Linked DNA regions of Oreochromis niloticus. The protein of the gene in region 1 interacts with the protein of each later gene in a biochemical or structural test. Links are inferred from orthologs where the notes say so. Each region holds a gene or a part of one and is shown on either strand. Other genes may lie near its edges.

Region 1 (10,949 bases):
TTCTCCATCACCTGTTCAGCTCTGATGATTCAGTAAGGACATCTCCTGGTTTCATCTTCATGTTTCCCTCTCACCAGATAACCAAACCGATATCATGACCAGCAGCTTTACAGCTGTGGCTCCAGCAAACATCAGCTGATACTAGAAATTAATATTAAATAAATTCTAAAAACAGCTGATCAAGCTTAAACGTGCTGCTGTTGTTTAACGCGACATCCGCTGGTTTCCTCTTTCTGGCGCAAAGTGGGCGATAAATAAACAAGAGAGAAAAGCTGATCAGCTGATCATTGATCAGTTTCATGATTGAAGTAGAAACAGGAGAGGAGAGAATGAGAGAAGAGGCAGCTGTGCAGCAAAGACACAGAATAACTCCAGCTTTGTGTCTTTTTCATTATAGTTAAAGTACAGGACAAACTGCGTCTCTTCTCAGCTCAATACAAAACCTGTAATATTTTCTCTGAATGAGGGAGCATTTCATTTTTTAAGGAGCCGTTGGCAACTCTACTAACTAACCTTATGAATAAAATAAAGTTCACCATCAGTAACATCACAGCACCCACCCAGCTGTATAGAAACTCTGTCATGCTAGCTAGTACACAGTAAGAGTTATTGTAACTGACTGTAAAAAGTCAGCACAAGGAAAATAAACTCCACCTAAACTTGGTTTATATCTGACCCAGATAGACTGCAGGTCATACTTCTTACCTGAAGTTCAGTTCACCTGACACTCGGACCAGCAGCCGCCTCGGGTCTCTCCTCCTCCTGCCTACCCTTCCCTCATCCACCTGCTAGCCGCCGTGGAAGCTCCGCCATGCTCGATGGCCAGTCCAGCTATGTTAAACTGTTAATCTTTCGCCGAAAAACTGTTTTCTGTGATGCTGTCTTTCGTGCTTGGCTCTCCTACCTTTGCTAACATGATGCTCGTAGCGCAGAAGCCGATGCTGCATTCACTTACACTCGGATATCTGAGCTTCACTGTGAAAACATAATCGTACATTTGATATTTCATTGGATTTTATTGTTTTGGCTTCGGGGTGGCACCTGGGGTGGCCAGTCTGGTTGGGGGGGGGGGCCTGTGCCCCCCAGGCCACCCCGCTGGACACGCCACAGGCCTGTGGATGCAGGGTACACCCTGGACGGGTCTACCACAGGGCACACACAGACAGACACACACCCAGTCACCTGTTTTATATTGCGTATCATAGTTTTGTATATGTGGGTAATGATCCGTCTGATCGACTGTATCAGACATCATGGTTTCTCTTATATACTTGTTCTTGTTTCCTGGTTGTCACTTTAGCCAGTCGTGTTTTTCTCGATGACACGCAACAAATAAGGAAGCTGCAGTTCTGCACTGGCAGTGAGGATGTTTCCCTGTTTTATACGAGGTAGAAGCTGCAATCAGCTTTTGGAAAAAATCACGCATACATCCTTATTTATCCAGGTAAACACTCTGACACGCCCCCGTAGAGCTGGGACCTATAAGATGGTATCTTTACCTTATGTTACACTAACACTGGCAAACAGGATAAAGCCGGTTACAACTCGCTAAGATAACCCAGGGTTTGATCTGCGCATTGGGGAGGTGGCGTCTGCAGCGTCTGACCAATCACAAAGGAGCATGTCACAGATCATGTGGCTTTTCTCCCACAGATAATTATCAAAGCTCTGAAACATTAAACCGGATCCATGGAAACATGACAGCTTCCTGTTCCAGCGCTTGATGAAGGGTGTTTCAGGTGTGCATTCGGTGTTTCCAGCAGCGGATCACAATCGAGCAGCACATTAATACACGCACATTCCTGACAGCTTCAGCTTTTATTGTCTCAGCTGCTGTTTGTGGTCCGAGAGTAGAGATTCAAACATAAAAACGGAAACAGTACAAACCACACATTCACAGTGTGTGAATGTGTGTGTGAATGTGTGGATGACTGGTTGTGTAAAGCGCTTTGGGGTCCTTAGGGACCAGTAAAGTGCTATACAAATACAGGCCATTTACCATTTTTTTAAACCTGATATGAGCTCAGCAGGAATACATGAATGTTTACAAAACAATGAAACCGCTTCAAATTTGTTTTATCCTATTTTATGTTTTCTGCTTTGACTACTTTTGTCAACAGATGTTGTTTTAAAAGTGCTATATAAATAAACTTGAACTTGGTGCCGACAGGAAAAAAAAAAAGATTACTGAAGCTCATCGCATGAAGCCTCCAGACCCTCCCGCTCTCCCCGTGGCGGCCCGAGGGATCCTCCAGGAATGGTGACGCTACGTTCAAGGCTGCTGATTGGCCAGCCACCTTCAGAAAACTGACATTAACCCTGAAGTCACCCGGATTAGCCAAAAAGCCATCTTCGTGGTGCACACCTCCGATCATCAGAGCTCTTTATTATCACAGAATTTATGAATCAACATGATGCTCAGCCCTCACACAGTCACAGAGTCCACCAATCAGCAGTCAGCACAGCTGGGGCCTTCCAAAATAAAATACCTGCTGACCTCTGATCTCACAGACAGACCTCTCCTGGATGTTTCCATGACAACCAGGAGGTCCGAAGGAGTTCAGGACTCTGAGTTCAGGGAGGAGATTTTATCGATGGACTGCAGCAGCTGAGACACCAAACGCAGAGTCTCTGCTTCCCCCAGCAGCTGCCTGCAGAGACGGGTGAGACAGACACAGGTGGGTGAGAGACAGGTGAGACAGAGACAAGTGAGAGAGAGACACAGGTAAGAGGGAGACAGGTGGGCGGGAGACAGGTGAGAGAGAGAGAGCAGCAGCATTAACAGCTTGGTGTTGTGGCTGATGGCTGTGTGTGTCTGCAGGTACTGACCGGATGGAGGAGTGGGCGTGGCTTGCCATCTTGTTCAGGTAATCGGATGCCACCTGAGCATTTTGCCTCATCGTCATGACGACCTGAGACTCCGCCGACTTCAGACCGCTGTTCTCAGCCCGCAGAGAATCAACCTCGGCCTCAAACACACACACACACACGCTGATACACACAGCCAGCAGATTATCGATAATCGATGATTCATTCTCCATCTCACCTGCAGCTGCTGTAGCTCCGCCTTCAGTTTGGAAACGGCATTCTCCGCTTTCACCGCTCGCCTCTAACACGGACAGACGTAGAGCATTTTTACACACAATCACACACCTGTTCATGCAAACACTGTGTGTGTGTGTTTGTGTGTGTGTACCGTCATCAGGTGGAGGTTCTGCTCCACAGAGTGAACCATGCTCTCCAGGTCCTGGGCCTCCTTCTCCTCCTGACGCCTCCTCTGCAGCAGCTCCTCCGAGAGCTGCGACGCCCTGGGAGACAGGGGCATGCTGGGTAAATGATTGGTCAGCGACATGGCGGCTCTGTCCTGTGATTGGTTGGTACAAACCTGCGTTCATTCACTTCTGCTCTCCTCTGCAGCTCCCTGACGGTCCTCCTCAGCGCTGCGTTCTCCTCCTTCAGCTGAGACAGAACAGGAGCTTGTTAACACCCCTGTTCTGCTTTGTCCCACGCTCCCTGAACTAAGCGCTCCGTGGTTGGGTTACCTGTTGCGTCTGGCTGCTCCTGGTACTCCTCCTCCTGCAGGAGGTGGCTGACTCAGCCATTGAGGTCTCATCATCTCCTTCATAGTTCTCTCCTCCTCCTCCTGCACCTCTGCCTGCAGCTTCTTCAGGTTTGGAGGAGAACCTGGTGACACAGGTGAAGGTGACCTCACGGCAGGTGGAGTTTCATCTGCACAGAAGCTGCTCGGAGGTCTTTACGCCCCGCACTTCATCAGACTCACCTGGTCTCCTCCTCTTCTTCTTCCTCCTCTGTGCACAGGGAGGAGGTGCTGTCAACGCCTGACTGGAAGCTCCGCCCCCACTCCTCCTCCTCCTCCTCCTGATGAGACAGACAGAGGCTGTGTGCGGCGGGTCGGGTGTATCCTTCGTGGTCCACGCTATCCCAAGATTCACTGCGAATCTGAGGTTGAAAAAATGTTTTGGAAAAAATGGCGGACGGTCAAAGGGAAGCGGTCCAGAAACGGACGAATGTTAGCATAATGAAGAATGTGAAAACACGTTAAACTCAGCTAACCTTCAGCTAAGTTACTTGACGTTAGCGATATCTAACATGGCTCGGGTCGTACGAGCTTTGGTCGGTTTGTCGCTGTGAAGCCAAACGTACGTCAACGTTTACAGTGAGCAGACGTTCAGGCTGTAAGCCAAGTGTATTTACGGGGACCAAACATCTGGCCCATGGACTGTGCTGAGGACACAGACTCAACCATGCTGCACTGAAGTTCTCATCCTGTATAAGCTACTACTGATAAGACAGACAGACCGTGTGCTTAGAGGAGAAAACTGTGTGTGTTTCATCTGTTAACAGATATTTGATCAAGTTTTCTGCCTTTGTTGTTAACGGCCACGGTTGAGTCCAGAGTCAGGAGAGAGGAGACGGCACAGAGGCTCTCCACCCCTGATGATACACCGGGACATCGTGTGAGGAGGAGGAGGAGGCAGCAGCAGCTGAGACATGCAGAGGATGATCTCTACAGTCGGTGGAAACACTGAAACAGTTTCTAGATATTTGCTTCGTGTATTTGCAGAAGCATGTCCAACACAAACTGTACCAGCTGCATGCAGGGACGCGCTCGCTGATGTTTATCCTGCAGGACAGACAGAATACAGGGAACTACACACAGCTCTGATTGGTCCACAGTGTATTTAGTTCAAATATTGTTTGTTGCACAGTTTTCTCTCCAATAAATAAATATCCATGTATCAGTTCATGTTCATGTTATGTGAAACATACAAAGGATCACATGTTTAAATGTGACTTTCAGACTGTGGCTGCAGTTTATTTATATTTGTCTTCGAGACAGTCGCAGGGATTCAATTTGAACTGAAATGTACGGAATTATATTCCATAACCAACGCACTGCTACAGTTTCATGCTATCGTGGGTAGGCAGAGCCTAAAGAAGCACGGGCTCCCGGTGTGATTGGTCCTTTTCATGGACACTTCAGGTTACACTGTGGCAGCAACAGAAACGCTGTTTTAAACTGTGCAGCCGTGGAAATACTGACACCTGTCAGTGGGTTGTTGATGTCGAAGCATGGAGGAGGGGCCTAAGGGAACATGTGTCACCATTCTACAGCCATTCCCCAACCCTCTGTGAGTGGGACTCATCAGTGGGTTAGAGTGGGCCATTCTGCTGTGTCAGTCGTTATGCAGATGTCCTGTTTATAAGGTTGGAACCTGCAGTCAGCTGACACTGAAGGAGTCAGCTGATGATGATGAAACTCCCACTGAAAACGTCCAGATGAACACAACCAGCTTTTTGGGATTTCCTAACCTGGATGACTGAGCGTGCATCAAGGCAAGGCCACGGCTCTAGCTGCTACTGTCGCAGTTGCTAGGCAACAGGAACTGCTTGTCCACTTTAACAGGTCTGTACTTCTGGTGTTCGTGACCTTGGAAGGACCCGCCCTACGTAGACCGTGTAGGTCCTTCCAAGGATGCAACCCCTGAATGTGGACACAGCCACAGGGCGTTCCAAAGCGTCTCCTATCCCCTAACCTCTTTTCCTTGACCCCGGTGAGGACTCAGGAAAAGAGAAAAGTGGTATGCTGAGAATTGGAACGACCTCACACTTGTGTCTGCTTAACAGCGTGACGCCGGATCCCCAAAGTGTTGAAACTACAACAAGCAGAAGCTGGACTACAAAACGCACATCTGACTCCATGCCGTGCTATAACCTCATTGGTTTGTGGAGGTCGTTCAGAGGAGGAGGAGCAGGTAGGGTCAGATGACGTCACAGAGCACAAACACGTGTTGTGTCACTGCAGATGCTCAGAGTGGGTCTGTGCTCACAGCTGTGACACGCGTGTGTTTGTGATGGAGTCACTGTTTTCTGCAGATTTTGAGAAACAGCAGCTGATCTCAGGTCATCTCTGCTGTTTCATGAGAACAGTTACTCAGCAGCATGAAGTGGGCTGAACACTCAGCGTGGGACCGATGGACGGTTTGAGGACAGAGCCAGAGTCTGAGCTGTGAGTCGATTACACGCTCGGCCCACAGCGATCACATCCATGACCGCCACAGCACAGCAGTTTGAAGTTTGTGTCACTCTTTTAAATATGCACATGTACACGCATGTCACAGCTGTGAGCACAGACCTGCTCTGTGTTTGTGCTCACTGCTTTACCGGAGGACAGAGGTGCACCTCCAGCTGTGCAGCTCTGACCTCAGTGCGTGCCTGCTCCGGGTCCGGGTCCTGGCTCTTCCAGCGCAGAAACTCTCTGAAGGAGAACGGGTTGAGCTCCTCTGCCTCCTCCTTCACCTCCTCCACCTCCTCATCTGCACACACAGAACAGCTGGAGCTGTGACGGAGGCTCACATGGAGACTGCAGACCTCCCCCCCGACACTCACCGTCTGTGATGATCAGAGTCTTGCTGCCTCTTTGTTTAGACATGTCGGACTCGCAGACAGACACGTGGCTCGCTCCGCCCCCTGGCTTCCGTTCACGTATCGATCATAACTATCGATCAGCCTCTGAATCCTCTCTGCCGGACCAAACCAAACCCGGAAACACCAGCTGACGGCTCCCGGTGCACGTGATCCACATTCCGACTTATCATTGGCTGGAACTACTTCCTGACGTCAGAGAAAAAAATAGGCCACAAGGAAGCGCGTGTCCCGCAGGGTCCCGGTCAAGAAATCGAACCACGTGTCGCGGTTCGTGGATGCGGTTCGTGGACGCGCAGAGACCCGGATGCTGGTTCTGGCTCGGCTGAGTGCAGAGAAGAAGGCGCGCGGAGACTGACAGCACCGGCGGGGTTCCGGTTTCACGGTGAGTGGGAGTCTCGGACACGCGGTCTGTGTTTGCTGCCACAGTGGGGCGTGGGGATGTTGCACTGTGTGCTCTGGGGCCACGACGAGCCCACGGATGTCCAAGATCCTGTGGCTAGTGATGGGTAGATGAGGCCTCGTGAAGCGTTTCAGCACATTCCCCAAACTGTATTGATACTGTGTCGACACAGTGTTGCTGTTTTGCTCCATACTGACACCTGCTGGACCGTAAATATCATTGCAGGGAACTTACTTGAGACTCACAACAGACACTGATTCAATGACCTAGTCATACTTGTACACTGTAAGGTATTGTACTTTCCATGGAATCATTTTATATCTTTTACGTTTCAAATATTGTAGACATCTTTAAAATATGTTGTGAATGACACTAAGTGAAAATTAAAATGAAAGTATTGTGAATGTAATAATAAATTTGAGTCAGAGTTTATTATAAAATTCTATTCAGAAAAATAAGTTTATTCAGTGTTTTTGCATTCAGTCTATTTCTTTGCAAACTCCTTTGACATTCAGTCTATTGCGTTTTTTTGACCCCATTTCCCCAGCTTTGGAAAACTCACAGGCACAGATGAAGCTGGGGTACAAAAACTGTAAAGCCAGGTGGAAAAGGTTCTGATAAGATGTCTTCCTATTCCCCCAGTACGTTAAAGGATCCTCTGATCTTGGAATGTTTCTGTCCGACACTCTCCACAATACTAAGGGGTTGGAAGTCCTTTATAATAAAATTCAGGACTGTCTGGTCCAGAACAGTCTTCCTAGATGCTTGATTTCAAAATAATAAAACACATATTAATAAAAAAAAATGATGATAAAGCTGTTCAGTGTCAATATAGGCTGACCTGTGTTCATTCTCAGTGTGTTTGTCTCCTCATTTTCATGTTTGGCTCTGTAATGCCTAAACACTGAGGATAGATTACACTGAAACAAAGACAGACAAACTATTACCTTATTTGCGGTTAAAAGATCAAAATGATCCCACACAGCAGAAACATTTCTTTTTCTTTCGGGCTCCATTTTGTTATGGAGAGATGTGTTTTGTTTTTTGTTTTTTTAATCTTTGCGAGAGTAATTTTGTGGGGGTTTTTTTGTTTTTTTTTTGTGGCGTCTCGTTCCGTTGACAGACGCGGATGCGGTACTTTTTAAACACAGTTTGGCGCGTTGGCAATGAGCAATACAGCAGCTGTATCGATCACGTGACTTTTTCTTAAAGCGACTCACGCACCGATACAGGCTTCGCTAGGTGAGCTTGATACATGTGTCGGTGCGTCAGTGTTGCAGGACCCATCACTACCTGTGGCAGAAACCCAAACTCTTCTTCTCTTGTTCTTGATTTTGTCTCTCATGTGTCTGCAGAGCTGAAGGATGTCTGAAGAGGGGCCACCTCAGTCCCAAACCCAGTCCACTCTGTCCCCGTCCCAGGCCAAGTCCCAGTCCCAGTCCCAGCCTGGTTCCAGTTCATCCAGTGGGCCCACCTCAGCCAGTCAGTCGTCAAGTGGCTCGGGGACTCTGAGCAGCGTGGACACCATCCCCGTAACGCTCGCGTCCGTCCCAGAGGAGCCCGAGCCGCAACCCTGGGGCCGCCTACTGCCCATGGTCCCAGGCTTCAGGAGCCACGGTACCGCTGCTCACAACACGCCGACGCGCTGGCTAGTTCTCCATTCACTCTGTTCTTAATCAGATTCCACTAAACTGAACATATTGTGCTGTGTCTGGAATTAGTAATTACTAGAATTAGCAGCAGAATTAGCATTATCAGCCAGCCGAGCTCCCCTGTTCCATACTTTAAACAACACATGAAGTAATCAGGATACTTCTGTTCAGCAGACAGTGCTTCAGGTGTGACTGATCTTTAGACTGTAGATAAAAGATGGACATGGCATCCTGGTTTTTCAACTCCTCTTCCTTTTTCGAGCATGGAGTGACCAGAGGATGAGCTAGCTGCTGCTGCTAATTAGCATCCAAATAAAATCCCGGAATTGCAGGTTTTGTAATTCCACTGGGTGGGGGGTGGGGGGTGGGTTGCCGAGAAGACTGCATAGAGGAGCACTTCCTGTTTGTTTGTTTGTTTGTTTGTTTACAGACTGCATAGAGGACCAGTACCTGTTTGGACGGGACTCCAGGTGTAACTACGTCCTGGAGGATCCAAATGACCGAAATTCCAGAAAGTTTAGAATCTACAGCAAGAAACACTTCAGGATCTACAGAGTGAGACTACTGCAGTACTACTACCACTGATATTAGCACTGATCGTACTGTGAGTACTGCGCTCACGGGGCTTTAACGTCGCCCTCTCCACCTGTGTGTGTCAGGAGGGCTCGGAGGTCTTCGTGGAGGACCTCAGTAATAATGGCACTTTTCTCGATGGGATTCCGATCGGGAAAGACAAGAAGCTTCCTCTGGTCAATAACGCCGTCATCTCTCTGGCTGAACAACGAAACCGAGGTGATTCCGCCCACCAGAGCAGCACCTGAAAACACCTGGACACCCTGGCGCCGGTCTCACCTCCTGCTCCTGTCTCTCTGCAGTGTTTGTCTTCATCGACCTGATGTCGGACGATCAGTCCAGCTTACCCAGAGACCTACAAGAGAAATACTTACTGACCCGACGCATTGGCATGTGAGTTGTTTCGTGGCGTTGTGATGTCATTTCCTGTGCCGGTACCACCCTGCTGACTGTGTGTGTTTCAGAGGAGTGTGTGGCGAGGTCCGGCTGGCTTTCGAGCGATCCACCTGCAGGAAGTTTGCAGTGAAAATCATAAACAAGAAGAACTTTCAGTCTGAAGGGGTGAGTCGCGTCATCTGCTCTCTGATTGGCTGAGACCCGCTGCTCGTTTCTTTCGACTGCGTGTTTGTCAGCAGGTGTGATTGTGTCAGTTCATTTATGAATTTTAATAGTGTCAAAAATGCAGACGCCCCTCTCTGTCAAACTAACAGTGCACTGCATGAAATCACCACAGGGGGGCGGTAAACTGTCAGTACACTGCTTAATTTAAATATTTCCGGTGCCAGCCAATCAGGTATTGAATTTAACTCAGTTTAACCCAATGACATGTCAGCAAGGTGTGAAAACACAGATACCTCCCAGAGAACTACAAACATGGCATCTCAACCTTATTTTGAGAGTTGAAGGGGAGCAACCAATGGTGATCATGTGACTTATTTTTCTGTCCAATCACAGACAGCGACACGAAATGCAAAGACGGAGATCGAGATCCTGCAGAGGGTCGACCACGTGAGTAACACCAACGAAGAAGAAGAAAAAGCGCAAGTACAGGAACGCTCCTTTATCGCCAGTAACAACACTCATCCTTCCTTTCCTTCTCTTCACTCCTTGTCTCCTGCAGCCTTGTCTCATAAAGACGGAGGACTTCTATCAGACGGAGGAAAGTTTCTACATCGTGTTGGAGCTGTGCGTTAAACTCCACCTGTCTCTCTCACCTGTCTCTCAGGCTACGTCCACACTAATACGTTTTTGTTTGAAAACGCATCTTTTTCTTTCCGTTTTGGCCTCCCGTCCACGCTGAGACGGCGTTTTCGCTCAAGGAAAACGACGCCATTTGAAAACGGTGCTTTTCCAAAACTGTGACACATTTTAGTCATGTGATGCAGTCATGTGACCAATTAAACAAAGCTAGCAGAGGGCATTACACAGCAGCCCTATCAAAGATTAATATCAGTCTGTACATGCTCCAGACAGCTTTTCTTCAGATTCTTTAACTCTCACTCGCTTTTGCAACTTTGTACTTTTGTGTTACTCGCAGCAACAACTCCACCTCATTGTTAGTCCATTTAAAAACTCGGTGCTTTTCAAAGAGACGTTTCAAAGAGCCGGAAAGTAAATAAACGGCAGACAGAAATGAGGCAGGCCGAATCGTCTTGCGTTTCACACATGCGCAGAATGTAAGTGTTTTTGGCGGTTTCAATGTGGACGCACAACTCTGAAAACGACTGAAAATGATAGTGTGGACGTAGCCTCACTCTCTCACCTGTCTCACCTGTGTCTCTCTCTCACCTGTCTGTCTCACCTGTCAGGATGGAGGGGGGGGAGCTGTTCCACAGAGTGAAGTCGAAGCAGCAGCTCAACGAATCTGTTGCCAA
Region 2 (10,862 bases), on another chromosome or scaffold:
AGAACTACACTGCACACCGTCATGATCCTGTACCCCTGCAGACATATCCGTATCCAGGTTCTTGCACGCGGACGCGACTGGGTTAGTTCCCTAACATGCCGAGCATCACCTTTACCTGAAATGGTGCAAATAACCCACAAATAACCCAGCTGTCTTTTTGCACGTGCTGCAGGATATTCCGGACTCGCTCTGGACTCCTCGAGAGCCAACGTGATGTGTAACTGCACAGACGACAGCATCTATATGTTCAATGTCTGCGGAATAAAAACGACACCAGGTAAAGAAGCTCCTCACTCTGGCTCAACACTGTGTGGATATGCACTAGAATAGGTATTTTTTCTGGTCACCCATTCATCACTAGATGGCGCTAATGCACTTTGTTATAGGGAACAAAGCATCCAGCAGCAGAAGCCTCTTGATGCAAATAAAAGCCGTAGATGCTTTGTTTTCTAGTGTTACATGTTCAAGTCTGATCTGAAGTTCTGAATAGCAGTGGGTTAGGTGGTGTTTGACAGTTTGCAATACAGGAAGCCATTTCAAGATGCATCATGACAGTTTTTTAATGGAAACGAAAGAGGAAAGTGTCACTAAATGTACAGAAACTAGAGGAAAGTTCAGCATTTGTCTTTTTATTGTTATATACACAGTACTTTAGATTCTATTCTTTTATTTGATTGTCCTTAGGCTTGTTTGTTCTCTGATCTTCGTGAATATTTTGCCATTTTAAAGAATTATGTTTCATCCACAGTGGCAGTTTTCAGCGGTCACCAGAACTCCTCGTTTTATGTGAAGTCCAGCGTTAGCCCAGATGACCAGTTCTTGGCCAGCGGCTCAAGTGACAACCACACTTACATTTGGAAGGTGCGTTATTGGCTATATTTTACCTGACGTAATAAAAATTGCTTTATTTTTACTCTGGGTTTTTTTTGTTGTTGAGGAACTGTGAATTTAAGGTTTTTGAACATTTTTTGTTACAATGCAGATCTCCAATCCTGAACTTCCTCCCATGACGCTTCAAGGTCATAGTGAGGAAGTGACGTCTGTTGCATGGTGTCCAACAGATTTCACCAAGGTAAGACATAAGTGGTTATACAAGTATGAACACTGCTGTGAATTGGAGGAGTTTTAATGAGCCGAGAAGCACCTGAACCAGCTGCACTTTGCTGGAAGATGAGGGGCGCTCTGACTTTATTCGATTTAATGAGCTTCTGTATAAAGCCCTCTGCTCTGTTGGCAGATTGCTTCCTGTTCCGATGACCACACTGTGCGCATCTGGCGACTTCACCGAGAAAATGATGAAGTACAGTCATCATTAGGAGAGGCTAACCTAATAGGCCGTGCACGTCCTAAGATTCTCCCAAGTAAGTGCTTCACCTACAATGTATTCTTGTGAATAACTACCATACTGTCATAAAACCATAGAGGTTTCACTTACATTATGTGCATGTGAATTTGTGCATCATCATAAATCACTGCTGTCCTGCAATTAAATACAAAACATGATCACATCTGGACTCAAACTACTCTATTCTGCTACTAAGGGCCTTCCATTCCAGCTGAGACAACCCCTGCCAAGCCCCAGAGGAGAGTGAGCCTTGGTGGCATAGCCTCACCTCAGCCTGCAGCCTGTGCTCCCAGTGGAGCCGCCCTGCCCCTTTCTTCCAGCACCACTACACCCAACTGTTCACAGGACTCTAAAACTGCAGCTGTTCGCCACAGAACTCCACCCACTATCAAACAGTGGTTGTCCCCAAGCAGCAGATCTTCCGAACAGGTTGGCTCTCCAGCCCATCGGGTGCTGAGCCAGTCTCCCCAGAGCTCGGCAAGCAGCACGCCCCCCACAGAACGACGGGCCAAACGCAGGCTGGAAACCGGTGACGGTTCGTCTTCAAACTGTGAGGGCACTGAACAGTGCGACTGCGTTACTGAACTCTCCCCTGCAGCCAAGAGGAGCCGGACCCTCTCTGGTGTTTGCTGCCCAGCTCAGGAGAGCCCAGCACAAACAGACTGCCACACAGAGGACAACAATGCGGCTTCATCCAGACAGACCGACAAGGAGAACTGCTCTCCCAGAGGAGTGAACTGGCTGTCAGTGATGAGCCAGAAGCTGAGGAAAGGTCAAAGAAGCCCTAGAAGTCCCAAAGGTGCCAGAAGTCCCAGTGCTGCTAAGAAACAAGAAAGCAAGACACCAGCATCACCAGTAAGTATAAAACTCACAGGTTTGGGAGTGGATTAACATTCATCTTTTCTCATCTGAAATTATCCTCAGGTTTGGTGCTGTGATGCAAGGGTGGTGTTATATGTAGTTCAGTTATACTGAAACACAACTGGCAGCCGATGAGGTGGAGATTTTAAACTGCAGCTGCCCATCAGCCACCTACAGACGCTGCTTGTTTCCACCTTCTGCTACAGCTGCTGTAGATGGTGGAGTCAAAGCCAGATATGATGCCATTTCTTAAATGATTCAAGGAGCTTTTCAGTAAAATATTCTTTCAGGAAAAGGAACTCATATCAGCACAGACAGCAGGGGTGTCAAAAATAAGGTCCGGGGGCAAAAATCGGCCCAGCAAAGACTCCTGTCAGGCATCACCGAAAGGCTTTAAAAAGTGAATGAGTGCATGGATTTTAAACTCTTATCTGTATTTTCATAGGTTTTAAAGCTTTTCCTATTGATAAAGAGCTCCCCTGTAGCAATTAGTACTAAATCAAAGTAGTTAAGTAATAGAAAAACAATTGAACACCTGTTTTTTTTAAAAATATGTTTATTCCATAGAAAAACGGCAACGCAATGGTCATTTTTCTTAGTCTTAAAGACAGGGATTAAATATTTAGTTAAATGTCTTTCACTGGTCAAGCCCATCAAAGTGGGCTGTATGTAGCACACGATGTAAAATGAGTTTGATATTCCTTACATACTGTAGGCATTGGCACTGATATGTCTGGGTGATTATATTTTTATTACATGTTGTATCCATGCATGTTGTTTTAGCTTTTAAGATGATCCTTTGTTTTTTTTCATTTATGTTTTCCAGAATGTGTGCACCCCTCCAGCCATGAAGAAAATCTCCATGTATTTTACAAAAAGGCCGCTGGATTGACCTGGTTGTACCAAACTTGGTGCTTTTCTTTAAGAGGGTTTTATTCAAGGTGGTTTTTTTAGTGGGACCCAAAAACTATAAGCCTGTCAAGATTACTGAGATCAGAAGAGATCAGTCACTGAACATTTGATGGTGTGGATTTGACATCCAGGGACTGCTTTCCATTTTATTTAAATATGTTCTTTTTTTGGGGGTCTTTTTTTTTTTTTGCCTCCTACAGAATTTTCTTGTGTTGTGCAGAATTTCTGGCTGGCGACTAAAGTTACAAATATGACTACTTCTAGAGATGCTTCAGCATTAAATTGGAGAGTCCACATTTAAAAGGCTGATTAGATTTTAAAAAGTTGATCCTCAAGTGCAGAGAAAAGCATTCGTTCACAGAACAATTTAAAATCTCATTTAAAAATAATCAAGTTACTTGGTTCATATTGTTAAACCTTTTTATGAACCGCACTGTAAGCTGCTCACAGATCAGCTCTATAACATTTGTAAGCCAGCCATCTAAGTCACGTGTTTTCCGTGTATGAGTTTGCTCATTCATGTCGGAGTTGCACACGTGGTTTGCAATATATTTTTTCCTTACTGAGCAAATTTTTTGACTTGTTTATATGTACAGAAGAACCAATGAATGATGCTTGATTTATTTGTATTTAATTGATAAATCTAGCTGTAGTCAAATGTTATTAAACAGTTTTCTGTCTGTGTGCGTATTTGTGTGTATGTGAGGGACAGAGAGGGTCTGATGGGGGAGTGGTGAGAGTTTTAGTCGAGGTAATTAAAAGAGAAAATCTAAAGACCGAAAAACATTCAAACCTAAAAAATTAAATCTCTATCATCTCACACTTTTCTTTAGTTCCCTGCAGATTCGTGTGATTAGTAGTGATTTGTGAGATTAGTGGTTTACAGCTATTTTGTTTAATTTGGACATTCTTCTGCCCCAGAGAGGCAGAAGGTTTTTTTTTAACATGTATGTGTGATAGTAACTTATTATAGCAGCTGTGGTAAAACAGCAGCTGTGCTAAAGGCTTTCAGCGAAGTGACTTCCTCTGATTATAAATGCAGCTGCTTGTCAAAGTTGATTTTAAACAAACTGTATACAGTTTATGATTTTTATATATCGATGCATCAGTGAGCAATAAGCATGTTGAACTGAAGAGTACAAAAACCCAACATAAAAAAAAATAGGTGAGAGAATGATGGTAAGTTATTAAACTTTAAAAAGATGGTATACTGGTATTTGATGGTAGTTAAATAAATTTCAGTCTCTCAGATCACTTTAGAGGAATTTTTGCACGCTCTTCTTAACTGTGTCACTTCAGTTCATCGAGGTTTGTGGGCAAAGTTTATGCACAGCATTTCAGTCATATTGAGGTCTAGACTTTGACTGGGCCATTGCAACACATTGATTCATTTTTTTTCCAGCCATTGCTGTAGATATGGTGCTGTGCTCCTGTTACATATCACAATTTTGGCAAAACTTTAGTTGTCAGACAGATGGCTTCACACTCGACTCTATAATACTTTGGTTTACAAAGGAGTTTGTGGTTGACCCGATGACTTCAAGGTGCCCAGGTCCTGTGGTTGCAAAATAAGCCCAAATCACCCCCCCATTCCAGAATCGTCACTGATAGTTGGTAGGAGATGTTTGTCCTGATATGGTGTGTTTGCTTCTCTCAAAACATGATGCTGTGCATTATGGACAAACCTCTCCACTTTGGTCTTGTCCATCCAGAAGACATTTTCCAAAAGGCTTGAAGTTTGTTCAGATGTAATTTTGTAACCCTAAGCTCTGCTACTATGTTTTCTCCTGGTATGGTAGCACTAATTGTACTGATATGAACTTTAACATTTAGCATGCTTACTGAGACCTGAGATGTAGCTATAGGTGATTTGTAGTTTTGCTGAGCATTGCAGAGTCTGACCTTGGGGTGACTTTGCTGGAACGTCCACTCCTGGGAAGATGTTGGCATTTCTAAATGTTTCAAACCAGCAAACTGCCCAAACCTCTGCTTTTATTGAGATGCTCACACTTGCTGATTATTAGTTTATGAAGTGCAATTGATTGGTAGCACTTGACCACTACTTACCCTCTTAATTCCTGTGGAAACAGTGAGGGACTCCCTAGACTCCTGTTAAAAAATTTTTTTAAAACAATGTTTTGGATCCTTTTTTTTTCTAATGAAAAACTTGTTAACACTTACTGTTCCATTTCCATTATAATAGCAAATACATTTTCAAGTTAATAGATTTACATTTGTAAATTTGGAATTTGAAGAGGAATAAGGTTGTATCCATAGGGGGGAAGAAAATGGTAAAATCTACTACAAGATTAATATAAATAGATTTAAAAAAAAAAAGAAAAAGATAAATGACAATAATTAACATTGAGGATGTTAATTATTAACATCTTTATACAATCCATATTTAGAATTAGGCCAAAGGTTTCAGGACTTAGATCTATGGCACTCTTTTTAATAATTTAGGATATTTAGAATACATTCTTCTAGATTTCTTCTATGTTACTTTTGATGTAAGTGTAGTGATAAAAATAAAACTTTCTTGTCTCTATTACAGACAAAGTAAATGTACTAAAATAGAAACCTAATTTCCTGTGGAAAGGCCCTTATTTTAGGGTTTATACCTGTATTTTATAAACACACACAGCATGTAATGAGGAATGCATCGGGTTAGGGCGTGATACAGGCAGGGCCAAAGAGTGGTGTGAATTCCTAAATAATACAGTTTTCCAGGGTGGAATGACTGGACAGCATACGTCTTTAATGACTTTAAAAAACAAGAACAGGGTGCACAAGTTTGAATTTATTTTGGATTTTCTCTCTGGGGTTATGAGTGTACATACAGGCTCAAATATACACTTAAATCTTTTAATAAGTTTTCGGTGGGAGAAACGTTTCGTCACTCATCCAAGTGACTTCTTCAGTTATTTGTTATCGGAGTTTTTCCAAATGCAATATCTCAGGATCTCTTTTTTTTAATCCTAAAACAATCTGTGGCTTAAAAACTGAAACTATAAGTGGGATAATTCTTTAAAAAGCGCAAAGAAACACGCGGTGACAAATTGAACTCTTATTATATTATCTTATTATTATTTTCAATGTATTGCTACGAGACGTGTCTCAGTTTTTGTTCAACACCACTGCCTGTACAGCATCACCTATTTGTTTTCACATGTCACATGTTCAAGTCCCGCTTTCTGCGCGGCTTGATTGGTTTAAAAAGTTCCAGTTTTTTGAAATTTTCGCCTCTGATTGGCTGTTAGCAGCGTCAATCAGTGACGTACCCCTGTCAGCGCTCCGCAGTCAAGCTCACAGACACACAGTGACGGAGCGGCTGCACTGGGAGTGTTTACGGCTGCCTGCCTCAGCTCGACATCCAGTAATTTGCTGTTTTTGACAATACTCGGTCTTTATCGAGGTCGTGCTAGCGAAACAGTCTCACGCGATTCACTCGGAAGTGTGACGAAGGGTGAAATTTCTCTTAGGTGGATGAGGCTAACTTTCAAGCGCTAAATGAGTCGACGAGCGAAATTTAACTTCATCGATCGCGGATAGTTTTTTTCTCTCAAAAACACACTCAGCAGAATTCTGTCTAGGATTAAACCAGTGCTCGGAGACGCGGAATTTGTGTTTTAACGAAGAGCTGCAAAAAATTAACGGGGCAACTTTCTTTCGTAACTTTTTCCCCCCTCAGCAGCGGTGCAAATTGTTGTAACCGTCAGCTAATTTTTAGCAGGCTAGCTAACTGTCAGCTTAGGTCTACTGTAGACAGCTTCAATCCGGCAATGCATCTCTTATGTTTTGCAACAGGTAGACGTTTTTCGATCACAATGCAGCAGTAAAAAATGTCAGAAATTTAGGAGCTTATTCTTGTCGTGTTGGTCGCTCCGTGCTGTGTAGTGCGGGCGGTGTCGTGTGACTAAATTCGGCTTTTTTCGTATTTTGAAGACTGTCCCCCCTCCTCTGTATTTCATAGAGCAAGATAATGATGCAGTCTTTGGGCACAGCTTAACCTCCGTACCGACCGACCATGTTGGATCATACAAAAATAACACAAGCCTTCTGATGTGAAAAGGGGAAGGAAGCTTTTCGTATGACCTAGGAGATACAGTGCAAAAAAGTGTCAAGGTAGTTTTTTTTTTTTTTTTTAATTTTATGCATCAAAATGTCGGCCATCTCCGCATCAGAGAAAGTGGATGGGTTTACGAGGAAGTCCATGAGGAAGGCACAGAAGCAGAGAAAATCCCAGGGCTCCTCTCAGTATCGCACTCACACCGCTCCGGTCGAGCTCTCCCCGCTGCCGCAGCTCAAAGGTAAGAGGATGAAGGGGTCCGCCGCTTAAAATAGTCTGCCTGTCATGACCGCTGTGTGTGTGTGTGTACACTGTCGGATCCACTGCAGGTACACTGTGCATGCAGCCAGAAATGCATTGCACATTTTAAAGCTGGTCTGTATGCAGAAACCTGCCAAAAAAATGAAGCACATCTATTAACACTTGCAAGCAGCTTGTAAGAGTTGACCACAGGGTGTTTGAAAAGGCTCTGTGCCAAAGTGTGTTAAATTGGTTTTGTATTCTTGGAGAGTTTTGTCAATAGTTGTATTAACATCTCTTGATCCATTGTTTTGTTTTGTTTTGTTTTTGTGCTTGCTGGATGTTGTGTAATGACAAATGCACATCTCCAGAGCCATGTTGTCCGAGTGGCTAAGAAGGATTTATGTATTTGCGTCAAGGTGTTTTGAAGGATCAGTGTCTCCACACCTGATGCACTGATTGTAAAATTGAATTTGGCTTTGATATAAGTTTTGATTTGTCATGTTTTTAGTGTTTATTCCTTGTCTTGTACACACACACAAATAGCTGCCTTTTTTTTTTTTTAAGTCCAGCCAGTACAGCTCTTCATCACTCTACCATTTTATTTTATTTTTTGGCAAGCACTGTCTGTGTAGGGCCTCAGTCAACCAGACCATGATAGTCTTGAGGGTTTGAAAAAGAAGGCATCTGGACTTCTTTAGGTTTGTGAAGAGGTTTCGGCTTTCATCCAAGAAGCTTCTTCAGTTCTAAAACAACTGGTGGAGAGTCCTGGGTAATTAACCCCTAGTGGGGGACTGTCCCCTTTGGAGGTGATTCTGAGCGTCATGTTGACTCACATGATCAATAGTGGGTCAATAACCCTTTTGTCCTCACAAACCTAAAGAAGTCCAGTTACCTTCATGCATTGCATTTTCAAGCTTGTAGGCAGCTGGTTCAGAATGGGCCTTTGATGGGTAAGCGTTTGTCTTGCCTGACTTAACAGAATTTTATGTTTTTTCCCTGTTATCTCTGCCCATTTAATAAACAAATATAATTATTTAAAATATCTGTTTATAAGTTTTCAAATTCTTAAAAATATTAAAAAGAATAATACCGGAAGCTTACTAACAGACTAAATTAACATTGTTACTTTGTGTTGCAGGGGTTCATAGTGCAGTATGATAATTTATAAAAACGATAAAGATTCAATTTTTCAATCAAGCTGATGACCGGTAGCCAGACTTTCTAAAGGAGACCTGCTTTGTTTGACATGGGTGTAGCACATTTTCTAATTCCTTCAGCCACCCAAACTGGAAAGTTGGATGTATCTCAGACTTTTAAGATTGTAGCACAATTTTTCTTGCTAACATTGTCTATAAAGCCTGAGCTTCATAACGACACTTCACACTATTCGAGTCAACCACCCCAAACAATGCTGTAAGAGGGGCAAAAGGAAGCACTCTGTTAAAAGCCTTGATAAGTAACTCAAATATGTGACCCCCAAAAAATCTGTAATCTGTTAGACTGCACAAACTGATGAGATGGATTTCGTTGCTCAATTGGACATTTCACACACAGCGGTGAAGTGCTTTTGAATAATTTATGTAATCTGGTTGGAGAGAAGTGTAGTCTGTGGTAAGTTTTGAATTGTGTCTGTGCCATTTATAGAGAGAGCATGAATATTTCCCAAGGATTTTTAAGGTAAATACCATCTTATTTGATATACCAATTGGTAAGCAAGGATGTTCCTGGCCCATACGGATAATGAGTTGATATATCTGTGCAACCCAACAAAAAAGTGACAGCAGTTTGGCACTACAGACGGTGTGGTTGTTAGTAAATATTTTAGTTTTGATTATGAAATCAATAAGTTGAAATTTACTTTAGAAAATTAAGAATCAACTCCCCCCACAACCAGTGATTCTGTCACCCAAAGGACACAGAAAGGGAATCTGGATTAACACCTGAAAAGTTGTAAGACCCAACTTATCTGTCAGCAATATTGTGTTTGTCAAAGTCAGACCAGCTATGTGGCATAGGGCTAGGTGCAGCTCTGCTTCAGACACACACAGCTATCAGTGCAAGGAGACAAGTGAATGATTTAGCGTAGCTTAATGAGTGGACGTAAGTGGGTGGATATTGGCTGAACAAGTAAAGGTAAATGTTAGTGAGCCATAACAGTTGTCTGATGGCACCAACTCTTCCAGGCTGTTTTGTGTGTAAATAACAGTTAACAGAAACTAATTATACTGTATATGTGAGCTTAATGGTTGCAGCTTGTATCTAAAAGCTCCCCTGTGATTAGACCTGATGAGGGGAAACGCATATTTGAGTGGTTTTATTATGCATGTTTTAAAATTAATATTGGAGCATAGTTTTTGGACAGCTTTGACACCGCTAAGCCATAAAATGTTTGCTTCTGTTGACTCCTGTATGTTGATAATGGCACAGGCTGTTAATAGAGAAGACAACTTTGTGAAAGCTGAAGAAAGACACTGTAATCTTTTTTTTCTTTTCACACTGAGAAGTTTACATAGTGAGCTATTGTAAAGGGATTTCTAGTCCAAATATACTGTAATAAAACTCTTTTGCTAGAGGCAGAATTGCTTCAATACTTAACAAATAAGGATGAGGCAGGGAGTCCCATACACACTCCCATACTTTACTGAACCAATCTCGATATTTAAAGCTCAGTGCTGCAGTTTGTCTCCTGTGATGCTTCACAAGGCTGAAAGGACCAGAGAAAACAAGAACCACCTGTTACATGCTATGACGTTTGTTTTGTACTTGTCTCATTCTCATGTCAGTGACAGCCAGTAAGCACAGCCTCTGACTGCGCAGGAGATAATGCAAGACAGCAAAATGTGATCATCAAGCGAAATGTGACACTGCTTGGTTGAAACACGGGAGGCTGGTATAAAACCTCCTCGAGTCTGTTGTCTGCGTGTTTTAGGTGGAGACGGGCATGTGGGGTGGAGGCCTGGTTGTGTTTGTTATGTTATATGCCTGCCAGTTGTATCACTATACTTGTGTAGACTTTGCAATGTTGTTTTTTTAGCAAGTGTTCTCACCTGACCCCTTCAGAATTAGGTGTTTATTTATATTGTATGGTAAATTTAAGGCTTCATTAAATATACCAAAGTTTTACCTTTTTATAATATGGAAGCTACAGGCCCTCAAAATGCGTAGGTCTGATTAAAAAGTCTCCTTTAGCCTTCATAACTTTATATACAAGGAGTAGACGTGAAATTCTTGCAACTAAAAATACATTTACATTTACAAATTGCAAGCAAATCAATTTTATATCAACTTCAACTCTCACAATCTGAAGTCAACATATATCAGTGCCAATGCACCGATGTAATATCTGTGACACAGGGTAACAGAAGCAAGCACTGGTAACCTGGTAAGCTGAGCTTTTATTCATGATTTCTTCTGTGTCACAAGCTTTTGGTA
Region 3 (10,895 bases), on another chromosome or scaffold:
AGCTAAACATGAGAGGTTTTTGGACAAAGTTTGTGTTCTTCATTCTTTAAGCACCGGCTCGAGCACTGTTTAAGCACCGGCACCGTTTCAAAAGTACCGGTTTGGTACTGGTATCGGATAAAACCTAAACGATACCCATCCCTACTTAGTGGCCAATTTGGTCTGAAAGTGTCTCAAAAAATAAATAAACAAATAAAGCTTTTCTCACTCCATCATTCTGGTTAAAATGATAAGAAAGGAAATGCTTTTAACCGCAAACCACATGCTCCGACTAACAATAAAATGATCTTACTTGATTGGACACCATCTGCACTTTCCCCACAGGATTCGGTCCTACAACAGAAACAGGAAGCATCATGGGCTTCACGGGTGATGGCAGGACGAGTGCTGACCCTTCAAACAGGAGCACAGATGTCATTGTCTGATAATTATGATACTGAGAAAGTTACTGAAAGTGAAGGAAAAGGATTAAACATGGGGACATGCCTTGTTGCCATTAATAACTCAAAACCAAACAAGCAAACAAACAAACAAGCAAACAAAAACTATGCTTAACCACAATGTCCCTGCAATTTTCTGCCAGAAAAACTTTACTTTCAATATTTTGGACTGTAATCAGTGCAATAATGTGGAAAATTATGTCAGTTTTGCAGCCTTCTGTCTCTTACCAGTGGAGTAACTTGTAGAGCGAGTTGGTGTTGTCACTGCATATTGATTTGTGGGCAAAGGCTGTCTGTTTGAGACACCAGCAGGCAGCACCACCTGTCTGCCTTCAGCTTCGGTAGATTGGGGCTCTGTTACAAGGAAATAGCTGGCTCCTTGGATGGCAGGGTTAGTGGCATCCAGGGGTAGTTGAATTATATAGCTCTGCTGGGCCTGTGACGTCCCAGTTAGTGGAGATGCAGTTACTGCTCCAGCCTTGCTGCTCAGAGGACTAGCAAATGCCTCAGACCTTTGTAATCCACTAACTGCCTGTGCCACCTCATCCATGTTGGCCTTTGGAGTTTCAGGGCATCCTACCGACTTAGCTGGGGAGGAAACGTAAATGGTGGGAATCTTGTCTCCAGAAATGCTGGAAATTGCCTGGTTTAAGGCTGTGTCACTGGAAGAACCTTCATCTTGGTTATCACTTATGATTATTTTCAAAGACATGACATTACTGGAGTCTGTTGCAGCTGTGTTTTGGATGCTTGTGGTTAACAGATCAGCTGTTGTTGCAACTGAAGCTGCAGGAGGAGGGGCAACGGGGGCACAGGAGGAGGACGAGGATGCGGGTGAGGCAGCTGTGAATGAGGCATGTGCAGCTCTTGGACTCGCAGTGGTAGAAGCACACGTTGGTGCGGCAGGTGTTGCAGTAGATGGGGCAGCAATAAAAGCAGATGAGGGTGAGGCTGCTGAAGCTGTAGCATCTGTAGAAGAGGATGTTTTTAAGACAGATTTTGATATTACTGAGAAAGTAGACACTGGTAGAGTATCTCCTCCACTGTTTGAGACTAATATTTGAGGTAGGTCAGCGGCGGGCGCTGGAGTGATGTTCAGCTGAACTTGTTCGGGAGGCAAAGATGATGCTCCAGCTGCACCAGGTTGATCTTTAAACTCTTGTGATTGTTTAGGTTCTTGTTGGTTGTTCATATTTGAGGCCAATGTTTCCTCTGGCTCAAGAAAAGCACCAGAGTCCACTGGCGAGGGGACTGTGGAAGATTCACCAAAGACAGGTGAGACAGAAGTGCTGTCCTTTGTGGGAGGCTCCTGAGTGGCCAAACTGTCCAAAGGAGGAGGGGGAGGTGTATTCAGTGGTTCATCAATATCCATTGGTGTTTCATTGACAGTGTTAGTGAAAATTGGATCTTTTTCTTTTCTGTTTGAGTTTGTTGGAGCACTTGAGACACCTCGGGGATCCCCTTGACTCACTATCAGTCTGGCTGAACTGTTTTCAATCCTGGATGATCTGCCATTGGGACCAAGAACTGTTTTCTTTAACAGTGTTGGAGGAGCGGACTTTCTTGTCTTTCGCTCTTGCCCAGGTTTCGTCTTCACCGTCATTGGTGTTGTATCTGAAGCAGGTGAATCACTGTGTGTGGCACCTGAAAATAGAAACAGAGTTCAACTATTCATTTGTCTCCATTGTTAGCAGAAATGATAAAATGCTCGACCTCTCATAGAAAGTTATTTAAACTTGGAAAAACTTTTGGATTTTTACTATAATTTCATTATTGATGTTTCCAGGTTTTATGAAGTCCAAGTGGCAGGGCTGTTCCTGTAACCAGCTGACAACCACTCTCTTTTTCCCCACCATTCTCAACAACACCATGAACGTCTTGCAGGAGAGATTGTCTGAAAGTGCACTCCACCTCTTTGTCATGGCTAGTATTTTCCTCCAGTTCATTTCAGTTCTTAAATTAGGAATAATTATACGTACTTTTCAATTTTTGACTTTGTTTTACACAGTTTACCAACTGTTAGAAGCTCAAGAAGCTTAAGCCTTACACCTTTAAGCCCCTTCCAGACTTCCTGTAGGCATTTATGCTGCCTTTTCAACGTTTAGATTATGACAGACTACCTGTATCAATATTTTGAAGGAGTCTGATTGCAGATGTAGGTCCAGCAGTATCGGTCTCTTCTGGACTACTGCTCGTATCGCCATCTCCTGCTTCTCCATCTGTGAATTTAGTTTTATCTGCAAACATAAATTTATAAAAAGTCTTACAATAGTTCTTTAGTTAAACTGTTACAGACAGTTGCGAACCATTATTTAAAGGAAAAGACATTAAAGTAAATGAGGTCATAGTTACTGCAGTCAAAGAGGTCAAAGAGAGCCTGAAAAGCTGGGTCGGACTCAGTTTGCTCCAAAATGTCATGGATGGCGTCGTCACTCATATGAATTTCCCCCTGTATACGTGAGTGAATACTGGTAAATTACACAGAAAAAGTGAAAACACTACAAGCTAAATTTTAGGAAAAAAGAAAAATAAATCACCTGTAATCCTAGTATTTCATCTATAGACTGGTCTGTCTCCACTGTACTTGAAGAACCCTTTGATGTTTGGGGCACTGGCTCACTGATAGTAGTGATGAAACAGAGTAGGAAACAGCACAGTCATTATCAAAAACTGTGCACAATACATCCAAGTGCACACAAAATGAAGAGTCCTGTTGCGTTAATTACTTTGCAAGGATTTTGTTGATGTTTTCAGCAAGCTTCTCTTGTAATGACCTGTCACCCAGTATCTTGTCACGTGCGTTTTGTATCACAAGCTGCTGTAAAGAGTGAGATGAAACAGAGAGTATGTCATTTCTGATGCAATAAAGTAATTTTTCTTTGTATCTAGAGACACATAGTGATATATGACCATTCAGCAGATCAACAAGGTTTTAAACAACAATGTCAGTGGATTTGTTAATATGTGATTGAAGTGTAGTCTTTAACTTGTCTCTGTGATTAGGAAACCTAGCATTACTGACATACTTACAGGGAAGTTTTCATCAACAACCTCTTCAGGTTGGGGTTCTGCACTGCTGCTGCCAGCAGGTGTAGCAGATCTGCCAGGGGCACTGGAGCCACTCAGAGCACCACTTCTCTTCCTGGGGGTGTCCCTGAAGACAACAGAAAAACATTTTAAACAAACCATGGGAATAACAATAACAGCACAATAAAGTCACTGTTAAACAGAAATATCACATGCTGAAGATCTAATTAATCAATCAAGTTGGGGTGACCCAGCACAGACAACATTCCAGGTTGAGTACACATGGTTATCGGCGGTCCTGCCCACTTTGCATCAAAAGCATGTTCTTTTCGTCGCAGTCCCTTGAAGTCGCCAAATATCACTTTCTATGGTCTCTGATGGCTATATCACTGCGGACTGCTTCCAGTGTGTACACACATTAAGGAACAACATACTGATATTGAGTCATTTAGATAAACAGTGACACAGTCTTGTGACTGATTAATGTCATGTGAAATTCACTACAATCAGCATTTTTTTTTAGCTCAACCAGCCAAAGGACCGATTAGTTTATGACATGGCATCTGATGTCCTCTCCATCCACAGTTCAGAAGGATCACTACTCCTTCTAGATTGGTCAGAACTGAATCAACACAATCCCCAACTGATGTATTTTTTTTGTGCTCAGGATCACAACTCTCATTTTACGGTAAACACCCTGTGAAGTTTGACGAATCCTTAGCAAGAAAAGCTACTGAATCATTAACATTCTGGATTATGCAACACACCAAGTACATGTTTGTTGTTTCTGCAATCATTAGTCACATTTTCTGCAATGCGAAAGGTTTACTCAGTGGTACTGTAAAGTCATTGTAACAGCAAGGTCCATGCACAATTTGTGTACAATGAAAGCTAATTTTTCCATCCACTTTAGATTAGTCTGTCTTTAGCACTCTGGACAGATGTTTATGTAATAACACCTATAGTAAAGCATTAACAACTATTCTTACCATTTCCTTCGACCAGGAGACATTGGGCCTGGATTTAGCCGATGCTCTGAAACAATGATCTGCACGGGTGAATCCCCTGTAATGAACAAGTTTGAATATTTATTATTAAAAACTACATTTAATACTTAGTTAGTATGTGTGCATTAAATGAATAATGAGCTCATAGAGCGTTGCTATCTCCTTAAAAAGCTGTGATCTTAGCATCACTTTACTTTAGCATTTGTACTCAGTTGTGTGTTATATTACTGACTGGGTGTAGTCATTAATCGGCTGCTGTCATGAATATGCTGGCTTGTGCCACTGCCAGATGCTGGTCTGCTGTTCAGACCACTGTAGCACACTGGGGTGGAGTGGGCAAGCATGCTGTGGGAGGTGTGCGCTGGGCTGATGATGGTGCTCGTCTCAGAAACCGATGAACAGACAACACCACCCGCAGAAGCCACGGCAAGGACCCGCTGTCTAGCCATGTTTGCCAATCCAACACGTGAACGTGCTGCAACACACAGAAGCTGATAAGTAAATAGGTTACATATAAAACCTGAACGCTGAGGCACTGTTTGACAACTGTAAGTAATCATGGTGCCAATTTCCCAATTTGATGTATAGACAATTCAGAAGTTAATTGGGTAACATGCCAGTTCCTGAGGTTTTAGGAACAGGCAACTATAATCACAATAAGCTCATGATTAGGGAAGTCCCTTTTCAAACAGTTTCTGTTCCTACGTTATAGGTATATTTCTACATAAATGCATCAATGCATTAAACCTGATGCTTTCGGCTACATCACCACGTATTAGCCCATTACATAACAACAAACAACCTGACAAACTTACTTCTCTGACATGCTGATATAGCAGGGGAATTCTGCAATGACCTAAGGAAAGATGCAGAAAAATATTCACATATTAATTCACTGCACCAAGTTTTAGCATTGAGAAACACAGCAGCAGATGTTTATGATTCGTCTCACAACAACATACCAATCAACAATAGAAAACGATATGAAATCATTTTTCAAAATCAGCCCAATGCATCCTATGCTATCACACAATTATTAGTGAAGCTCATTACTTAATCTGGTTGAGTGTAAAATCCAGCTTTTTCCACAATGAAGTCATCACGACGGGAACCTCATGACAAGACTCTGTTGAAAATATGAGTAATCATCAGCAACAAAACCATGACATATGAACAATAATCGGTTATAAAATACTAAAGACATCCTCTGGATGGCTTACCTTTTGTTTTAGCAGCTACATACTCATTTAAAATGGTCGTCAGGCTCTTCCCAAAGATGGACTGTGTGAGGAAAGATTAAACAGAAATGCAGTCAGCTGCCATCATGACAGTTCAGGCTGTGGAGGCGGCTTACAAGAGGGAGGAAGGCACACTTACAAAAACGCAAGCAGGAATAGTCCCATCTCCTGTGGTGTGCTCGGCATACTCTTTCAGGTTGGGGCTCTCATGAATGAAAGCTTGGCTTGTAGCTGACAGCCCCTCTTCTTGGAGGTACCCTAGCGGAAGGACATTAGTAGCACCTTAGTCAGCAGTAACAGTTACCCTCCAACTGCAGCCCAATCAACCGTTAAGGCTGTGAGACTAAAGCTACCCATTTACACTCGACTGTCATTGCTGGCTAACCCCACAGCTACTCGTCTGCTATGGACGACCAGACTTACCCAAAACAAGCCGAGCGACGTCAGACGGTAGCAACATGACCGACTACTTGTTGGTAAAAGCGGCCTCAAATGTGAAAAGGTAACTCCATGTTCAGGAAAAGTCTCCGAGAAGCTCGAAAAACTGTCTGAAATGAAACCACGTCAGTGATATTATTGTGAAGGCGACGTCTTCACAATACTGCTTCTATACTCAAAAGGCGGGGAACTCAAGCACGTATAACCCGGAAGTACCAAGACCAAGCTATCGATTAGAATTGTGGTAGTTGTAGTCCAAATAGAAAAAGTCAATCTGGATAACGTTCTATAGTGTCTTACATATATATACTGTAATTTATAGGTTGAACGTGACTTCAGCATGTCGTATACCACTTCAATAACACAATACCTATTAAAAACATTAGGTTTATTTTCATGCTGATAGAAAAGTGAATGGACTCACTCAATACCAGGCATAAGAAGGAAGTGATGTGAGCAGTTGAGCCTTGCTGCTGGGGCGGGAATATTTTATGCGTGGGTTACGTGTGCGTGCGTGCGTGTGGCTCTACAAGATGGCAAAGTTGTCATGGCAGGTACAGTAGCGGTGTGCCTTAACTCAGCTAACATCTGCACCTGCAAGTGTGACAACTCCGCAACTGCAATCACTGCAGTCATCTGAGGTCAGTGAACAGCGCAGGTGTTTGAATGGACATTTGTGAATGAAGTTAAAAGCTTAATCTGCCAGTTTCGTGTTGCTAAAGTAGTTTGCATGAGCAGTGAAGCAGTGAATAAAGTGTGGGTCGAATGGTAGAAATCTACAATGTCTACTAAGTAATAATAGTGTAGGTATAAAGCGGATGAGTAACAACTTTTGTCAACATCCTGTCCCTCCAGTGTGTACATCCACGGTGAGGCACAATGAGCCTGGCTCTTCATGATCTCCTGGCCTGCTGCAGAGCACTCGAGAATGACAAAGCTACAGAGAGGAAGGTGAAAAAGACGAACTACTGCCTATCAGTTGTCCAAATAAATGAATTCATAGGCGATTCAATGTACTTTAAATAGGTTAAACAACTCCCTATTTAGCTTATTTTAAAATAACAGAGGATAACTAACACTGTTGTCCAGTTATCATGGCAAAGCAGCCCAACACCAGTAACAACCACAGTTATCCTTTAATTCACTTCTTTTAGTTACTACCTTCAAATCAGGGCTCTTCTTACTGTAAAATATTGAACTCAGTCAGAAGCTCAGATTGCATCGCTTATACATCTGCTGAGCATCAGCATCTGTCCTGCCCACTTGCAAATAAGATGCAATTTGCCTGTGGCTTGCACCACATCAATTTTGCACTTTATAAGTGTACAAAGGCAGTGCGATGAATAGCTGAAAGACTCTAAAATCAGTAATTTTTCTAAATAAAGGTTTATTTACTTTCCTGGCACGAGTAGCAACAAAAACAAAATAGGATCTGCCAGTCATCTTGGTATGTTAATGGTCTGTATAGCCCCACAAGTTCTCAGTTGTGACACATTATGCGTATTTATTGAACAGAATTTCAAATCCTGGTTCTTCCTGTTAAAATGGGGGGTTTTCATCCCACCCTCGCTAAGTGCCTGCTCGTATTGGGTCGCTTGATTGTTGGGGTTTTCTCCAATACCGTTGGGTCTTTAACTTACAGTATAAAGAGCTTTGAAGTGAATTTTGTGGGGAATTGTCCATAATTAAATAAACCTGAATTGATTTTAATGTTTTTTTAATCAATGCGTTGTAAATGCTTTTTATTTCATCTCGTAATTATTATCAGAAAGAAGCTGAGCACTTCAGACGGCTCCTTCGATCTCCAGAGATTGTGCAAGAACTCGATCGTAACTCATCAGCTAAAGCAAAAGCTTCCAAGCAACTCACATGGGATGCTGTTTTCAGGTAACCTGCATCAGAGTATTTGCAACCATATAAATACAAAATGTATATATCTATAAGGTGTTTCCAGAGAAGGGACTATTTTCTACCTTTTTGCATCTTTTGAAAAGTTCTTAAATAAGTATTTGCTCTTATTTCATATTCTGCAACATGCTCGTAACTCATAAATGATTTTAGCTAAAGTTAGCCCATGTACCGGAACAAGTGGCTTCTATAAATGAATGCTCTTTATTCTGCTTGGCATTTCTTGCATCAGGTTTCTGCAGCGCTATGTCCAAAAGGAGACGGAAAGCATGCAATCAAGCAAATCCAACGTCACGGCAACCACGCTGGCCACGCGGCAGAAGAAGATGGCTGAAATATGCAGCCTGATCAAATACTTCATTCGCTGTGCTAACAAACGTAAGAGCAGGAGCAGGTTGCAATATGTTTTGGGTGAATGTATGTCGTAATAAATTAGGGAACATTCATGTATCTTTATATTTATAAGTATCTTTCATTAATTCATCAGACACAGTAGAAAAAATATTGAATGAACTGTGGGGACTGCAGTTAAGAGTGTCCTCTTCTTCCTCCAGGCGGGCCTCGTCTGAAGTGCAGTGAGCTGCTGAAACATGTGCTGGAGGTTCTGCAGAGTTCGTACTGCTGTTCAGCCTATGGAGAAGATTATAGCAGCCTCCTTGTAAAGGACATCCTCTCTGTCCGCAAGTACTGGTGTGACATCGCTCCACAACAGTGGCATAGTCAGTGGGCTATTTGGAGTTTTATTTTATAAACATGAGGAAGCAGACAAAAGTAAGAATTGATGGATCTGTGTTTATTCTTGATCCTTAGATCTTTTGGACTTGTACTGTGGTTTGTTCAACTCCTCGTCCAGACCCATCAACCGCGTTTTGGTGAGCAGAGTGATCCACACGGTGGTGCAGGGCTGCTGCATGCAGACCGATGGATTCAATGACACGCTGTTCAGCTTTTTCTCCAAAGCACTGCTTAATGTCAGGTGAAAACTTTTAACACCGTTTTAGATTTGCGTTGAATAAATGTTCCGGTATTAGTCGCTAAATTTAAACACTATGCATTCTTCGTATCAATCGTATCAGGCAGGAGAAACACTTGGCTGTTTTGGAGCACCTTGTCTCAGCTCTGAACATCTTCTTGAGATCTGCAGCCATGAATTGTAGGATGAGGCTGTGTCGACTGGGAGAGGAGCTTCTGCCTTCCATACTGTACGTCTGGGCAGACATGAGGCCCAGTCCAGCTCTCAAAGAGGAGATTGTGGAGTTCTTCAACCTACAGATTTGTGTCCACCACCCCAAAGGAGCCAAGACACAGGACACAGGTTCTTCTTTTAGAAACTTAATTTTAAATGTTGATTTCCAGTGTTTGTGGTTAATAGTGGTCGGAGGCCAGGCTACACTCACAAACCCTTTGTTAGGTACACCTTCCTTTCTGGTTCGTCTTCTGCTGCTGTAGCCCATCTGCTTTAAGGTTTGACGTCTTGCACATTTTGAGATGCTCTTCTTCACCTTGATGAAGACCATCCAACCACTTTGTTTTAAGAAGGGCATATTTGAGTTTCCTATCTCTTAGAACAATATAACCTTTCTCCTTTAATCTTTGACATCACAAAAGCATTTTCGCTTAGAAAACTGTCGCTCGCTGGACATTTCCTCTTTTTTGGATCATTTTCTGTAAACTGCAGACATGGTTATGTAGGAAAATCCCAGCAGATCAGCAGTTTCTGAAACACTCAGACCAGCATGTCTTGCAACAACAAGCATGGTACATTCAAAGTAATTAAATCAGCTTTCTTCCTCATTCTGATGCTCAGTTTGTATTTGGGGGGCTGTGGCTAAGGAGGTAGAGCGGACTGGAAGGTTGGTTGTTCGATCCCTGTCTGCTCCTGCTTCCAACCTTCTTTTTGGGCAAGATACTGAATCTCGGGTTGTTCCCGATGCATTCCAGACTAATGCATTCATTGGTGTGTGAGTGTGTGTGAATGTTAGATAGAAACCAGTAAGCAAGTAAAAAACTTTAATTTAAATTTAATCGCAGTGCACCAATCTTTCAAATTTCACTGGCGAAAACATCAAAAATATAAGCTTTTGCAAACCTGTGGCTGAACTCAAGGTTTGCTTTCATTTGTTGGCAGTAGTTATTTAAACGTCATGAGCATAAATATTTGAATATCCTTAAATAAATAACCAATAACTGGTGGCTGCGCTCACTCATACTGCAGGTGCGCATGCTGAGGACTGGTCCAAGTGGCGGAGTCTGCTGTACAACCTCTACAACGCGTTGGTCAGGGAGATCGGTCACATAGGCAGCAGAGGGAAGTACGTCACAGGGACCAGACACATAGCCGTCAAAGACAATCTCATTGAGCTCACGGCTGACATCTGTCACCAGGTAAGAAAGATCGAACGTCACGTATGCACCGAGTGCATCAAGGTTCAGCTTCGCTCAAAAGTGCGGTGAGGAAGCTCATTAGAGGAGTTTGTCTGGACAAATTTAATCCTTTAAACGCGCGTATGTTTTTTTTGCTGTAGCTGTTTAATGATGACAGTGATACCCACATCGTGGAGGTCACCCAGGCCTCCATCAGAGCCACACAGATGGGCAGTCTCACCCACGGAGCTGCCAGCAAGCGCCGGCGTATCGAAATGGGCTGGGAGGTCCTCCGTGAGCATCTGCAGCCTCAGCACAGTGACTTTGATGTCATACCGTGGTATGATAATCACAGCACAAATAATATAAACACATTTTCAAGTTAAATAAAGACAATTACTGGGTAGAGTGACTTATAAATCAGCGATATTGCTTTTTATTTTATGGGGCATCAATTCTGCCTTGAGACACAA

The links.
Region 2: the proteins of chek2 (region 1) and ppp2r5a form a complex in vitro, tested with the Homo sapiens proteins (2 studies listed by BioGRID and IntAct, with this or other methods). The link is inferred for Oreochromis niloticus from reciprocal best matches to the Homo sapiens genes CHEK2 and PPP2R5A.
Region 3: of the proteins of chek2 (region 1) and atm, one has a biochemical effect on the other in vitro, tested with the Homo sapiens proteins (6 studies listed by BioGRID, with this or other methods). The link is inferred for Oreochromis niloticus from reciprocal best matches to the Homo sapiens genes CHEK2 and ATM.

Annotation. Positions count from the first base shown.
Region 1 is NC_031977.2:37,553,489-37,564,437, forward strand, and holds the start of chek2 (serine/threonine-protein kinase Chk2), read left to right. Parts: upstream 1-6,693; 5' UTR 6,694-6,832; intron 6,833-8,205; 5' UTR 8,206-8,214; coding exon 8,215-8,467; intron 8,468-8,932; coding exon 8,933-9,057; intron 9,058-9,161; coding exon 9,162-9,294; intron 9,295-9,377; coding exon 9,378-9,468; intron 9,469-9,539; coding exon 9,540-9,636; intron 9,637-10,029; coding exon 10,030-10,083; intron 10,084-10,195; coding exon 10,196-10,260; intron 10,261-10,883; coding exon 10,884-10,949. Other genes in the region: entr1 (endosome-associated-trafficking regulator 1), read right to left, coding at 2,561-2,651, 2,830-2,969, 3,047-3,109, 3,197-3,308, 3,386-3,459, 3,543-3,684, 3,782-3,960, 6,187-6,338 and 1 more. UniProt on the Homo sapiens protein: Serine/threonine-protein kinase which is required for checkpoint-mediated cell cycle arrest, activation of DNA repair and apoptosis in response to the presence of DNA double-strand breaks.
Region 2 is NC_031980.2:13,641,831-13,652,692, forward strand, and holds the start of ppp2r5a (serine/threonine-protein phosphatase 2A 56 kDa regulatory subunit alpha isoform), read left to right. Parts: upstream 1-6,378; 5' UTR 6,379-6,494; intron 6,495-7,091; 5' UTR 7,092-7,280; coding exon 7,281-7,428; intron 7,429-10,862. Other genes in the region: dtl (denticleless protein homolog), read left to right, coding at 1-81, 173-277, 749-861, 983-1,072, 1,238-1,361, 1,542-2,200, 3,033-3,098. UniProt on the Homo sapiens protein: The B regulatory subunit might modulate substrate selectivity and catalytic activity, and might also direct the localization of the catalytic enzyme to a particular subcellular compartment.
Region 3 is NC_031979.2:14,485,144-14,496,038, forward strand, and holds the start of atm (serine-protein kinase ATM), read left to right. Parts: upstream 1-6,624; 5' UTR 6,625-6,791; intron 6,792-7,005; 5' UTR 7,006-7,029; coding exon 7,030-7,101; intron 7,102-7,918; coding exon 7,919-8,037; intron 8,038-8,290; coding exon 8,291-8,436; intron 8,437-8,612; coding exon 8,613-8,777; intron 8,778-8,868; coding exon 8,869-9,034; intron 9,035-9,134; coding exon 9,135-9,373; intron 9,374-10,273; coding exon 10,274-10,443; intron 10,444-10,583; coding exon 10,584-10,762; intron 10,763-10,895. Other genes in the region: protein NPAT, read right to left, coding at 293-393, 669-2,084, 2,561-2,677, 2,793-2,889, 2,978-3,059, 3,167-3,258, 3,471-3,594, 4,457-4,532 and 6 more.